2 linked regions of the Coturnix japonica genome follow. The protein of the gene in region 1 purifies or fractionates together with the protein of each later gene. This does not show direct contact. Links are inferred from orthologs where the notes say so. Each region holds a gene or a part of one and is shown in the gene's direction. Other genes may lie near its edges.

The links. Proteins that work in one complex are often made in the same cells at the same time.
Region 2: the proteins of ATP2A2 (region 1) and PLN purify together in Homo sapiens (affinity purification with western blotting; 4 studies listed by BioGRID). This does not show direct contact. The link is inferred for Coturnix japonica from reciprocal best matches to the Homo sapiens genes ATP2A2 and PLN.

The regions. Positions count from the first base shown.
Region 1 is NC_029530.1:4,546,494-4,553,970, reverse strand, and holds part of ATP2A2 (sarcoplasmic/endoplasmic reticulum calcium ATPase 2), read left to right. Parts: intron 1-1,941; coding exon 1,942-2,022; intron 2,023-2,845; coding exon 2,846-2,931; intron 2,932-3,726; coding exon 3,727-4,191; intron 4,192-6,634; coding exon 6,635-6,723; intron 6,724-7,477.
Region 2 is NC_029518.1:57,226,530-57,234,006, reverse strand, and holds the end of PLN (cardiac phospholamban), read left to right. Parts: intron 1-1,084; 5' UTR 1,085-1,125; intron 1,126-3,531; 5' UTR 3,532-3,654; coding exon 3,655-3,813; 3' UTR 3,814-6,337; downstream 6,338-7,477. UniProt on the Homo sapiens protein: Reversibly inhibits the activity of ATP2A2/SERCA2 in cardiac sarcoplasmic reticulum by decreasing the apparent affinity of the ATPase for Ca(2+).

The DNA.
Region 1 (7,477 bases):
TTATGCTCATAAAAGAATGTCCAGGATGATACATGGCTCAGTGTTGTAGGTAGTGTTTTGCAGAGAGCTTCTCAAAGTAGTTCCATCATTGATCCTGATGTGAGCTTTCCTACCTATTGGAAATACCTCAGATGTTTTACTACCGCCTTCTAAGTAGGGGTGGTGGTGGTGAATACAATGTGTTCTCTCAAACAGTGCGGATGGTTGAGGCAGCTGATGATGCTTGGGAATAGCGTGCACTGAAATTACAATGTTTCAGTATTGGTAGAAGTGCAAAGATGTGTAGCCGGGCTGATGGGCATTGCATCCCATTGCACTGAGGTCTTAGCCTGTTGTTCAGTGATGGCTGAAAGGCAGCTGCCATTACATGTCTGCATATAAACCTCCTCATGACATCAGGAGAGTCTATTGAATGCTTTGGCCATTTTTGGCCGAGGTCACTGTTTGTCTAATGCTATTTTCTCTTGCTGCTCAAGGGCATGGTGGCTTAAATTAGTTTTCACATGCTATAATGATACAAAAAGGCAATTTGTGTCTATTTATGGGATCCCTTCATGCACACATGCTTACACAAGGACACATCTTATTCCTCAAGCAAAGCTATTCCATCTTTGCTGCTTTTACTGATTTGGGGGCTTTTTTGACCATAGGAAAAGTCACATGGTGCAAGTTTAATGTTCAAAGCTGTACTTAATCCTCTTCAGCATTTTGCTCCTTAGCTTTCCTGTCTGTGTGTGTGTGTATGCTGTAAGGCTGTAACACTGCTGCTGCCTTCTCAGGGTGTTATTTGTTAATGTGCATTATTGCTGTCAGTTGCATAAGCAGTTCCTGCAGGAATTGCAGCTTGGTTTAATTTCACTGCAGGGACACAGAGTCTATTTACTGAGAAAATGGTCTCTTATTAGCTAGTTATTGAAGTGTTCTCCCCTGTCATTGTGCATTGTTTTTTAATAATAATTAAAAAAAAGACTTTAACACCTGAATAATTGCACTGGTAAATTATGTTAGGGGTAAGTTTCACTGTGTGTGTCCATTAGAAGAAAATAGTGCAGCTTTAGTTCTTCAGCTTCTCTTAAAAACCAGGGAGAACAAGATGAGAGAAGGTGGAAAGGTGGAAGGATTAGTTCTGGGATGCTGAAGATGTGGGAGCAGAACTCTGCCTCTACAGGAGTGTGCTGTTACCTCCTGCACCACGTGCTGCCTTGGCATCTCAAACACGTGCTGCAGGAGGTTTTTTGTGCCCTTTTATTAATTGCAGGCTGTTGTGCTCTACAAAATAGAAATGTATACTGAGATAAACGCAACGTAATCTACCAAATTTTGCAGGGGTTTGAGCTGGGGTGTGTTTAATACAGTTGTACTACTTAAAGTTGGTGTGTGATCTGAATTTAGCTTCTAACTCAAACGTATTTGGCATTATTAGAAGTGTATAACACAGAAAAAGCAGATCTGATCTGCAGAAGCAATTTCCAAATAAACGAACATGGGTCGTGTTCTGATCTGTGGGGAACAGAAAACTGATTTAGTGTAAAGAAAGCAGCTTGCTAGGACAGCCTTTCTGAAGAGGGGACTTGATTCTTACCTGAGCTATTAATTCTGGTTATTGAAATGTATTCTGAAATTGATATCTTCCAAGAATGTTCTCCCCTTGCTGTCATGTTACGGTCACATGATGGGCGAACCAGTGGTGATTTATGGAATGTTTTGTGGAGATTAAGTAGAGGTACAGATTTTGAAACCAAATTTAATTTGCCAAAGCATATTGGAAACTCCTAAAAGTAGAGTATTGCAAACCACAGAAGCAATAAGCAGCTGGTAGCAATCGTAATCATTGGAGTAGATACTGGAAAATCGCTTTTGTGGCTGATAGAGCTAATATACATTAGGTTAGAAATCTCTCAAATAGACAAAACTCAATTCAGTTTACTCATTTCTTTGCAGTTGGAGACAAGGTTCCTGCTGATATAAGAATCACTTCTATCAAGTCTACAACTCTAAGAGTAGACCAGTCCATTCTCACAGGTACAAGTCGTGACTTCGGGACTATTCTGCATACATTGGAAGTGCCTTTTAATTGTTTTAGAATACATTACAGACAAGTCTCTAGCTATACCAGCACTGTGTTTAAGTGCAGCACATTTCCTATGTAGTTAGTTAAATCTTAGTGGGTGAATATGTTGGCTTTGTCATTTGTGTTCACCTTACTGAGATGAATATTCTTCCTGAGACTTGTAGTGCTTTCTTTAGTCATTGCTTTTAGTTAAGAGACAATAGAAACTTGGGGGGATGGGGAATAATTTCTATTCTACATTGAATGCCTTGTCGAACTTACTAAGTGGCTTCTGTAACACCTATTTTGTTGCACAAGAGAGTGTAACGTTTAAAGTACAGGCAGTTTTTAAACTACTGCTCCTAAAGCCTTATTTGATGAAATTCTGTCCACACGTTGGTGTGTTTTGTGATGCAGGCTGAAATGCAGGAGCTATATTTAGAGGACTTTTCAGATTAGCTGAAAACAAAAACAAAGTAACAGTACTACTGAATATAGGAAAGAAGCTAGGAATCAGCCAGGCATGCTAGTGTGGCTTTCTCTCAGCTGGAACATGAAGATCTGTCTGCCAGTTTTGGTAACATAAATAGTAAATGTCAACTAGCCGTGAATTTTAAAGCATTAAATCGTTCATCAAAAAAATATTATCTGTCTTGAAACAGGCTGCACATTTTCTTACTACAAATCTTGAATAGCATAAGAATGAGGGAACTTATTTATATTTAGCATAAGTATGGAGTGCCTACATTTTTCTTATAAGAAAAAGATCTTTTAAGACTGTTGCCTTCATTTTAGGTGAATCTGTGTCTGTAATTAAGCACACTGATCCTGTACCCGATCCTCGTGCTGTAAACCAAGACAAGAAGAACATGCTTTTCTCTGTAAGTTTTCCTTGAAAGTTTAAAACATAAAAAGTAATACAGAAGCTGATGAACAAAAACAAAGAGAACTCAAGGTGTGCATGTAAAGGCTGTGGAACTTCTTGCTCTGTTCTCTGTGCACGTCTGTATGCATGTCTCCATGTGCATCAAACTGAATGAATTAAAGGCTAGAAGTGGCTTCTAATTAAAGCCATCCTTAGTGAGGGTGCTTGTTGAGGCCAGTTTATATGAGGAAACTAATTTTTGTCCTTCATTAGAAAGAATATTGAAGGACATACACTTTAAGGAACTCTTAAACTCCTTTTATAAAGTGACTTATGTGTAGCTGAAGTTGAGAACCAGCTTGTTATTAGGGAAAGAAACTGTTGATTGAAATTTGTTTCAAGGAAGTGGTTGAATGCCTTTCAGATATTGAAATAACAATTCTTATTGTTGGTGGACTCCTTGCAGAAAGCCTAACTGTTGTTACTCATCTTAAACATTCACACAGAGTCCCACAGAACACATGTATTACAGTAAATAACATTATTATGGTTGTGTTTTGCCAGATTAAAACAAACAAAAGCTCTTAAGGTGCCAGTACTTAGCAGCAGATGGATTTGTTTACACTACTTACAATAGATCAGTGTTTGTTCATATTCACCCTAATTTTTTAAGTAGAAATCCTACACTAGAGTATTCTTTTGTGTGTACTGGGAGAATGACATTCTTCCTGTTCCACCTCTTGCACAATTGAGCTGAAACACTGCTTCTGTAGTCTGCCCTTTTAAACACAGCTGTCTGTCTTTACATCAGGGTACTAATATTGCTGCTGGTAAAGCTATGGGAGTGGTCATCGCAACAGGAGTCAACACCGAAATTGGCAAAATTCGTGATGAGATGGTGGCTACTGAACAAGAGAGAACCCCACTCCAACAAAAGCTGGACGAGTTTGGAGAGCAGCTGTCTAAAGTCATCTCACTTATCTGCATCGCGGTTTGGATAATAAACATCGGTCACTTCAATGATCCGGTTCATGGTGGCTCCTGGATTCGAGGTGCTATCTATTACTTTAAGATTGCTGTTGCTCTTGCTGTTGCTGCTATTCCTGAGGGCCTGCCTGCTGTTATTACCACCTGCTTGGCTCTTGGAACCCGTAGAATGGCCAAGAAGAATGCAATTGTTAGAAGTCTTCCCTCCGTGGAAACCTTGGGTTGCACCTCAGTTATTTGTTCTGACAAGACTGGTACTTTGACCACCAATCAGATGTCAGTCTGCAGGGTATGTTGAAATACCTCATTTTGTTTTTTTCCTCAGCAATTCTGAATAGTCAGTGTTTCTTGAGTTCTTTTGACCATGAGGTTTTGGTTCTCAAATCATCAAAATCTGCCTTTATTTTCCCAAGATAAGCTGTGTTGAGGTCAGTTTTCCATTGTAGAGTGTTGAAGTCTTATATCTCTTCCCTTACTTGGTCATGGACAAAGATAGCTGCGCCCCCCTCTTGGTGTAAGGGACAGTGGTTTGCAAGCAGCTTTCCATTGGCTGTCTGTAAGCAATTCAATTTCCTGTTGATGATTTCCTCTGATCTGTCCTGTTTCAGAAGGATGGGGTGGGTATGTTACAAGCATAATAATGTTCATCTGTGTATGAAGATGACAGAGGTGGGAGAAGCTTAGCAATGAGAAAATCTAAAGGCTTTGCTGGCAGTAACTTGGATAGTCTGAGGTATTTTCACCACTGAATGTTCCCACCTTCCTTTGGTTATCTTCACTATCCACTGTTGCTCAGATGTACTTTGCTGCAGCATCATCAACATGCAATGGTGTCTGACTAATCCGGCAACTTGGCAGTGCAGGTGACACCATCATCGGCATTGCCATGGTCATATTTGCATGTTGTGTTGCCCATTTTCTGTGCATCCCATATACTTGAATAAGTCTTTGTAGGAATTTTATGGAGAAAGCACTCTGTTCTTTTAATAATTGTGGATGTTCAGCAGCTTAGCACTGATATCACATGTTTGGTCAGTTATTACATGGGGTTAGAATTTCAAATACATAAACATTGAGCATTACAGACTGGTATCTTTGGCAAGTCTTAATTTATTCTCATGTGATTGTTGGCGGCTTCTTTAACTGGCAGTTGACTTGTTCTACTTGCTTAAGTATTGTAGTATTTATACCTAGGAAACACAAAGCAGCTGCTCATCAGTATTCCAGAGGAGGTTACTTGCAGTAGAGTTGCATAACTGCCCTAGTCTTTGCGGAGGTTTTTTTTATCACCAAATGAATGCTGCCAAAAACAAAGATGCCAAAAGCAGAAGGCTTCATGGTAAACTCATCAGTTACGAACCTTCAGATGTGTTTATTTAGGAGCTCCAAAGGCACCGCTCCTTACATTCAGAGGGCTGAGTACTCCAGGTCTTGTGCTTTGCTTCTTACTGGGTCCTCATTATTCTGTAGCTGTCTCAAGTTGACCTTAATTTCAAAGTCTGGTAAAAACATGGCCAAATCCTAATAACCTGTAGCCAGTGCATGCATTCATGGTTTCTCTTGAAGCAGGTGGCTGTGAAGAGTTAAGCTGTGTTGTGAAGAGTTTTTACAGTAGCAACTCACTTCACAGTTTTGTTTTTCATGGTGTTAAATAATATCCTAAACAGTTCAGTCAGGAGGGAAAGGAGAAGCTTTGAGGCCTTGTTTTCATGTCCCGACCTGTCCTGTCAGGCAGGAATGCAGTTATTCTGCCTTGTGGTCTCTTAAATCATTGGCTTGTTGAGCTTTTTGGTTTTTAAAATGACTTTAAAAGAGTGTGGGGACTCCAGACACTGATGAAGACCACGTGTGCATCAGCTGAATGTTGTGTTTTGCAAAAGTGCTTCCCTAAAACACGAGGCAATGCAAGCAGGATGCTGCTGAAGTGTGGTTTGGCAAAATGGCTCATACCAGAAAACCAGTAAGAAACTGTGTCAAGGTGCACTTTGTGAGCAGTGCACTTTTTCCTTTGCTACCACTCCGTTTAGTTCTGGTTGAGTACGAGCATGCTCTTATCTATGCTTTCCCAGATTTGAGTCTTCCTGCAGCTCAAGAGCACAAATGCATCCTTTAAATCAGTGTATGCATTTGAAAATAACTCCATCCTGTGCTGCCTGGGCACTCGAGCTGTCTGAACGTTTCTCATCTACCAGTGCACTGGGCATTAAAGGACTTAGCAAGAGCCAGGATGCAAAATGCCTTCAGTGGTATTAAGGGAAGCTCAATGTATTTCAGCACTTGAATTCTACTTCTGAAAGCTTCTGCTATTTGCAGATGCTTTGTATTTTTGCTTTGGCAAGAATTGTCCCTTCCCAAGCTGTCCTGTGCTTCTTTTGATTGGAACTCTTTAAAACATAAACAAGAATTAATTCACAAGTTTAAAGCCTAGGAGGCATGGTCAGGATAATGATCTTAATATCAGTTGATACTGAGTACACAGTATCTGTTTTCAACTTGTTGTCTCCTTGTGCCTCCGTTCACTTCTCAAATGCGATCTGTTAGGCAGATGTGCTGATTTCTGTGCATTAACGGATCAGGGAGCTGTTCACATACATACAGGATCAAGATCTAGTTTTGTTTAGTTTGCATATTGAACACGGACTTGTTTCTTGTACCTTTTTGCTTCAGGCCTTTTTAAATCTTGTGTATTAATGACTATTCAAAGGCAGTAATGCTTCTAACTCTAATTTCAGATGTTCATCCTGGACAGAGTAGAAGGAGATAGCTGTTCTCTGAATGAATTTACTGTAACTGGTTCGACATACGCTCCCATGGGAGAAGTGTAAGTGCTGCTGAAGTTAAATATTTGTCTGTTTATTCATTGCCTGTTGCTTTAGACTTGGAAAGTTGGGACATAGAATATTTGTTAATACATGGAAGCTCAACCAGTGAGAATGCCTGCTCTGAAGGGTTGGGGAAACCTAATTAGCAATAAAGATAGGTAAGTGCTAGGAAAGCAAACCTTCATGAAACTTTTATATACTCCAGTATTGCAGTTTCCCATTCCTAAGAATAAGATAAGGGTAGACTGAGGCAACTAAGAGAACCCTTAGGGTTCTTCAGAAGGTGAGCCTCGCTCTATTGGGTTCTTACTGCTCCTTTTGTATGGCAAGTCTGTAATGTTTTTAATTTTATCAATTCAGTGTAGTAGATTCTACAGATAGATACATAGATCTCTGTGTATGCATTAGAGTTGGATTCAGTTATTTTTAAACAGCTCAACCTTGTGGAATTTCACATACAGGCCTCTGACTTGGTGCAGTCTTCACCAATCTCAGTAGCAATTCTCTCTTTAATTTTCTTAGCAGTTAAGACCGTAATGTTCTCGGCAGCTGGAAATCTTAATTCCCCAAGTCTTTTTTTTTGTTTCAAAGCTAATTGCTGTCAAAAGCTTATGCTGTCATTTCAGTAGACTGAATTAGACAAGGTGACATTCTAGATGCTGTAAGGCATCCAGCTATTGTGCTCTAACTGGTCTCTCAGACTCTAGGTAAATGAAATAATATAGTTCATTGGGATGGCAGATGTTGATTACA
Region 2 (7,477 bases), on another chromosome or scaffold:
TTTCACTTTGGCACTGTGCACACAAATCCTTTAAACGCATCTCCTCTGAGTGTGCAGAGAATGTGCCCAGGAATACCACCCTGCTCACACAAACGTACAGAGGAATTTCTTACATTGGGTACAGTTCTACACATGTAAAACAAGGATCACAGAATTTAAAAGTGCTTTTCTGCATTGCTATCCTGATTATTAGAGACTTACTTCCAGTATACGAAGTGAGACCACTGTTGTTGGGGTTTTTTTTGTTTGTTTTTAAAATTTCATTGTAAAAATCTGTGAAATAGAAACTCCTGTTGTGCAGCAGCTTAACAATGCCTTTTCAGGGCTTAGCTTGCTTGTAAAGGGCAGCAACAAATCAAATATGTCAGACCCACGCCACTGATATCACCACTGCATTTAGTAAACATATGACAGGAAACAGCCTGTGTCTAAAATTGCTGTGGCATTTCCAAAGGAGCCAAATTTATCCTGTGTGACTTCAATGGAGTCAGTGCAGTTGCACCAGGAACAAGCGTGGCCCACAGTTTTCACTTTGGTCACAGATCTCCTCTCATGGTGAAGGACATCCAGAAACAAAGATAAAAATAGCCTGACACAAATCAGGGGAACAGTCATATGTCAGTGAAGGGGGAGGCAGTAATTGTAACTGGTGACTCACACAAAGGCCCCAGGTGTAGGGGATACCCCACACAGCAACATGGGGTTAACCATGTCATGTCTTTCTGCATAGCTGTCCTGGGCATGAGACAGATCCTTCACATCCATTAGCAGCCCTGCATTAAAGACAACTGTGCACCAACACAACCAACAGCTTCCCCTCTGGGCTCATTACACCCAAAGACAATGCAGTTTGGCTTCAAAGCCAAGTAAATATCACTATTTGCTACACTTTCAAGATGTGGTTTTGTGCATGCATAATACTTCTTCATATTGACCTAAAGCACGGACAGTGGGCAAACAACAAAGAAAACTAATATCTGTGCAGTGATTGCCTTCATTTTAGACTAATTGTCAGGCTGCCCTTTTTGACCTTGTTGGCTACTCAGCTGCAGCTGTATTACCAACTCTGTTTCTCTTTATGCAGACTTCAGGTGGTGACAGCATCATGGAGGACTAACAAGTAAGGTATGTGCTTATTGCTTCAAACTATGCACTTGTAAAGAAAAACTTGATTATACAGAATATGTTCCCTTTGCTTACCTCTCCCACAGGCAGGCTAAGTAAGAATAGCAACATGCAGGTGTTTCAAAAATTTCCAAACCCCAAACAATCTGTTACTGTAATCTGACCTCTCTTCATCCCTTTTCTATGTATTTTTCTAGCAATAATTGGTATATACTCTAATATACTCTACTATTTTCTTCTTTAAATCCTTTTGTGTCACTACTCTGGCACAGTGACTGCTGTGTGCTGATGTCCTCCCTGAGACTCTCTGCTTCCCTGAACTGGTGATGTTTTCCTCACCTGTGATGTCCAGCCCATCTTTTAGAGCAGTACTTTAATGTCTTCAGTCACTGCCCCTGGAAATGTATTCAGCATCATGATATACAGGTGCCTGCAAGCATACAGGATATCTAAGATAGCCCACAGAAATGGGTTCAGTGTGTATAGGAGCAGGTAAAACAATCCCATTCCTCTGCAAATTCTTCTGAGTGCCCCCAAGAAATGGAATAGCTAGGGTGAAGCTCGCTGTCAGCAGGCTGCACACAGAGGCCACAGGCTGCACACCCCATAAGTTAAAAAAAAAATAAAAATGACAGTGACTTGGGGTGAAGCCATCCTCAGGAAACTCTAATCTCTGTACAGTGTCCATCACACAAGCTAGCTCCATAAACCTAGCTGTACTTGCTTATGTCCATCAGTGGTTCACCTCCTATGTCTTGTGCAGAAGACAAACAGCTTGGCCCACAGCAGCCCACTCAAGGCTGGAAATGCCAACCCACCAATTCAGGGAATCCTTGCCCTGGGAACAGGCAGAAGCCAGCAAGGAGCACAGCACACTGTGCCTGCTGAGCACCTTCACTGCTTACATAGATGAGAACAGGTACAGAGTTATGTCAAACAAAGCTGAAAAACAGTCAGTGCTAGGAAACTAAGACCTCAGTGTGCACTTTGTTTGCAGTGAAGCTAAGACCAACGACAGCTCAAGTCACTGTAAGAAAAATCTGAAGTTCAAATTTTGGAGATACCATCACATGGAATCACCTAAAAGTAGATTTAAAAAATCCCATGTATAATGTGCTTCCTTTCAAAAATCTTTTTTTTTTTTTTTTTTTTTTAAAATCAGTGTTTTCATCTATACTGAAAATACATGTTTTCTGCCATCTAACCTTAGAGAACCACATGGAGGGTTCAAAAAGAGCCTGAAAAATGCTTTTGTTTCATTTTAAGGTTCTGTTTTAGACACACCTGAAGACAGGCTCACGGGTGATAAAACATCGCTGGGTCAGTCAGAATGTCCTATAAACCATGCAGCAGATACCTAACCAACTGTTGGCCTTTACCTGGCATATAAGAAAGAGAGGAAGGCAGGTATCTGTATAATTCACCAGAGATTAAAAAAAAAAAAAAAAAAAAACACAACAAAACACACCAAACAAGATAAGGAGAAGCCTTGTGTCAAAGATGCTATTACAGTATATACTCACAAACCACCAGGGGGCAAGTTCAGCTTTCAGAGCAACATTTGAGAGATGTATACAGTATCACCATGTTAAGAACTAATTTTTCCTCATTGCTATAGCACCTACCCTTTGCCATGAGCTAAGCAAGCACACAGCCTCTCAACACAGAAGATTTGCACAGTAGGGCTTTTATAACCCACTGGGACTTCTAAGAGAACCAACACCCTGTGCTTCCATCGGCCATCAAAAGGGAGAAGATGCAAGAGTGCATGTTTTATTTCAAGCAGGAGACAAAGTAATATACATGCTTTATCTTGCTCCCATAGCAGCCGGTGTACTTGAACCTTTTAGTCTTTATCCTGTCTAATGAAAAATATACTACTAAAATTCCTTGAATCAGTCATGTTTAGCTTTTAATTTCACACCATATGAAGTATTTTTACTTGGAATGGCAGCGCATAAAGATTAATTCTCCTCCCTTCCAAAACAAGTCTGATCATCTATACAGCCAGGCATCCTGGCCTCCAGCCCTAACACAAAGCTTCAGGTGTGCTTAAACTAGCAGTAATGGGGGGAGAAGGGTGGAAAGCAACCTCAGTCTCAGGCCACAAAGGATGGAAAGATAAGGATATAAAAAGGCAGGACCTGGTAAGTCCCACATTTCCACAATTTCCATTTTACAGTCTCCAACCCCTGTTGAAAAGCAGGTGATGGGAGGAGAAATATAATGCAGCACAAACCTGAACTTGGAAAACAACATTTTAAAAAACATCATTTTAAACTAAAAGCCCTTGTGAAAACAATGTGTTTACTTCAAGCTGCTTAGAACCTTAAAACAATCTCCATCTGCACCTATCGAAGCACTTTACTTCTGCATTTCTAACTCTTCACTTTCCTGCTTTCCCAGCTCCACAAAGGCTGTCTAAACAAAAAAGAGAAGATAACAAGCACTTTACACTGTTCCTGACAACTCCTCTCCTTTCCTGCACTTCTAAAACCTCTGATCTGTGCCCTCTGCTTTCTTGCTGCCATGGAGAAGGTCCAATACATAACCCGCTCTGCTCTGAGGAGAGCCTCAACTATTGAGGTCAACCCACAAGCACGCCAAAGGCTCCAGGAGCTCTTTGTGAATTTCTGCCTGATCTTAATCTGCCTCTTGCTGATCTGCATCATTGTGATGCTCCTCTGAAGTTCCAGCACTTCTCTGCACTGTTCTCTAGGAAAGCCACCCAAAGGGAAGAGCGACCTCCACTTCCAACCCCAATGCAAGGATCCCCTTGGGAGAGAGGCTAGCACTTGGACTAAGGCTGTGCTGTGTGCCAGCCATCGCGCTGCTCTTACTGCCTGCCACATGTATTAAAAACACACTTCTGTGCTGAACAGTGTCTAAAGCCTGTTGTTACACAGCTGTGCATGACCTAATTTATCTGTTCAGTCAAGAGATGGCTGTTCTGACTGGTGCAGGGAACTGCCTCTCCAGAGGGCTGGTAAGTCTCCCCATGTTTTAGCCAGTTCTCCAGGGGTTAGCCCCTATAGACAAACAACAAGTGCACCTTTTCACGATCTTCGAGTTTCTCTAGAAGTCCATAAACCACTGGGCATGTTCCAAATTCAGACTAAAGAAGAGCTGCTGGCACACATACCACATACTGCAGAGTAGGAAAACATCTATTCAGAGTCCTAAAACATGTTCCATCTTTGTGCTATCAACTGAAGGTATTCACCTTGTTCTAGCATTTATGAGAACAAAAGTAAAACAAAAAGTATCTTCTGAAGGTTGTTTTTTTTTTTTAATTTTCAAATGCTCTTCTTCAAAGTTAAAGGATCTTACATATGTAACCATATTTATTTATATAAAGTATACATATATATTATACATACACATTATATATATATAAAATGTGTGCATATATATAATGTATATGTGTATTTCTATATGCACACACCTTGGGTAAAAAAACAAAAAGGCAACTTTTTTTTTTTTTTCTCCACTGGCATTTGTCACTGTTCCATTTTCACTTGATATAACTATACAGAATTAAATGACAACCAGAAAGATCTTTTGGTACATTTTTGCAGACAAACGCATACTACCTTACTGGCAAAGATTTCATTTTCTGTAAGTAGCATAAACAAATGGCTCACGTAAAAAACACAACAAAATCATAAATACCCCCAAGTTCTTAAATGTTTGGTTTCAGCCAACTTGAGTATTGCCTGCTCATATAACAAGTGCCCAAGTTTAAAACTACAGATAGTTTTATATCTGCCACTGCTGTTCTACGTGACTTACATTTGATGCGGTAAAGAAAATGGTTTAGGTCATTTTTACTACTGCAAATGGGGCATACCATAGAAACACAAGCAACACCATCATCCTCAACTATAAATGACTGTTAGAGAACAAGCAAGTATTTTCCTAAGATAAATGATACGTATCATTATTTACAGGAGGAAGAACACTGCAGAAAAACTTATTTAGCACATAAAACACAGTCTATACAAATACAAGGTGAAGCTTCTTCTCCAGCAGATATCAGTAACAGGCCTGAGCAGACTTCCAGCCCTCTCACACGTTGCTGGTGTTAGGTTAAATTCCTAGAAACATTACAGCTCTCAAACTTCAAAAGAAAGCTCAACAATCAATATACATAGATCAGATGTTTTAAACCAGCTTCTTTCTACACCACCCTTGGCAAACAATACTATTACATAAGCAGAGGTTGACAATGAACAACTGAGCAGAAAGGGAAGAAATATTCAAGGGAAAAAAACTCATATTGAATGTAATGCAAGCTCATTGGTGACACACTTCCCAACTAGCAAATAGGTACACTGAGAGCAGATCTCTGAGGTAATGTTAGTCACTAGAAGTCATTAGTTACTGCATGAGGATTAAGGCAAACACTGATGTAAACACACATCCTACTTCAAGCCATAATGAATAGAACTGTCAATATAAACCTCAATTCCTGTTTCATGCATTCTGACCATCTTCACAAATGCATGATTTTCCATACATGCACTTTTCCTATCACTACTACTACTTAAAAGGAAGAAAAGCCACAGTGTACCACTTCTGTGAGGAAAAGACAAATAATGAAAAGATTACTTCTATTTTTTAAATCTATATTATGTGATGAGAGGGTTTCCATACTTGCTTTTCTCATACAGACATTTTAGATTACACTGAACTTACTGAAGTAAACTTCTACTGGAAATAGCTGACAGTTTTATTGTACTAAAAAAGCTTTCTGAAGAGAAAAGGGTGCAAAAAGTAGCAGTACCCATTCTGAGATCATTTTGGAATTATAAGATCTACAAGCCTGTAGTCAAAGCAGAACATTGCTAAATAAAGAAAAAACAGCCTCCCTATAAATACAATACCTGCTTTCCTCTTACGTATCTCAAAAGCCATTAATCAATTAAAAACAAAAAGCAAGAATAAACCACGGTATAAATAAGCTGGAAGCTATACTGTTATTTTACATCAACACAGATAAATTTCAAGTACTATATGGTTCATCTGCACTTCAGGGTTCTGTTGATATGAAAAACTACTCCCATGCTCCACTTTACATTGTCAACTGAACCCAGAGTATTTTTCTTTGTATACTTCTAAGAGCTTCCAAACTAGCATCAGGTGTATTTTTATTTATTAAAATGACTGTTTGAAAATATATTACTGAATAAAAGAAGATATTCAAATGCAATTGTTTAAAAGAAGCATCCATCCCATTATCAACTTGGGAAAAAATAATAAAGTTATGTGAATGAGAGGTAGCCATTGTCAAGTCTGGCACTCAGTCCAGCACCTGTGTAAGGCAGCCTTTAATAAAGCTTCTCACAAAATGCAAAGCGTTTGGCCTCCAAGCACAAAGAACTTCCACAGAAATTTTTAAAGAATACCTGGAAAACAATAATCAGATACACACTCACACCTTATTTTAAGCCTGCTGTGCCTAAATTTGAACACAGAGCAATGAACACGTTCATTCAGAGAGTACCCTTGATCCTATCTGGAAGCAGACTGATGCATGACAGATTATGGCCAGATACCAGCTTTATATGGCTACTGACTGTCATAAAAATATTCGTGAGGTCCTACAGGATCCAGGGCTATCATATTTTACACTGAATGTGATCCTTTAGCTTTGACTAGATGTTAAATACTGAAGGACGTCTGTGTTTTGCTTACGGAAAGAGATGAGAGAACACCTCTTACTCACTGCAAGGCTTAGAGACCGGACACATTTCTAAGAATTCCTTTAAAAACGGATGGTTCTCCACAAGAACTCAGATCATTTAAGTCATTTTTAAATGGGCTCTGTATTTGCTGCAGTATCTGACAACCAGTTCAGTCAAGATGACTGCTTTCTAAGATTCTTTTTGTTGCTTTTACTTTTCGGTTTTTTTGCTCTTAAAAATAAAAATCACAGAAGTACCATCTCATATAGTATACAGAACTATAGAACAGTGCCCTCTTCTGATCTTAGCTTGAACTTAGCTGGTTATTAAAAAGGTCCGGCAACTCTTCAGTGTCAGGGATAACTAGTCATACTCATTTCCTTTCTTTTCTACATACTCATATCTGCATTTAAAACAATCAGTAAGATATTATCTTACAAAAGGCTATGGCATATGTGATATTAGTAGCACTACAGACGCCTCCTCTACCAGTGCAATCTGGTCTCCTCTTGTGGAATTCAGGTTGTGAAGATGCAATGAATCCTATGCAGCATACTGTTGGCAAAACACTACCTATATCATGGTACACAACACCAGTACCTAGAAAGATAGGAAAAGCTCTAATTAACAGAGATGCATTTTGCCCAGAATATGTTGTGTTTTTC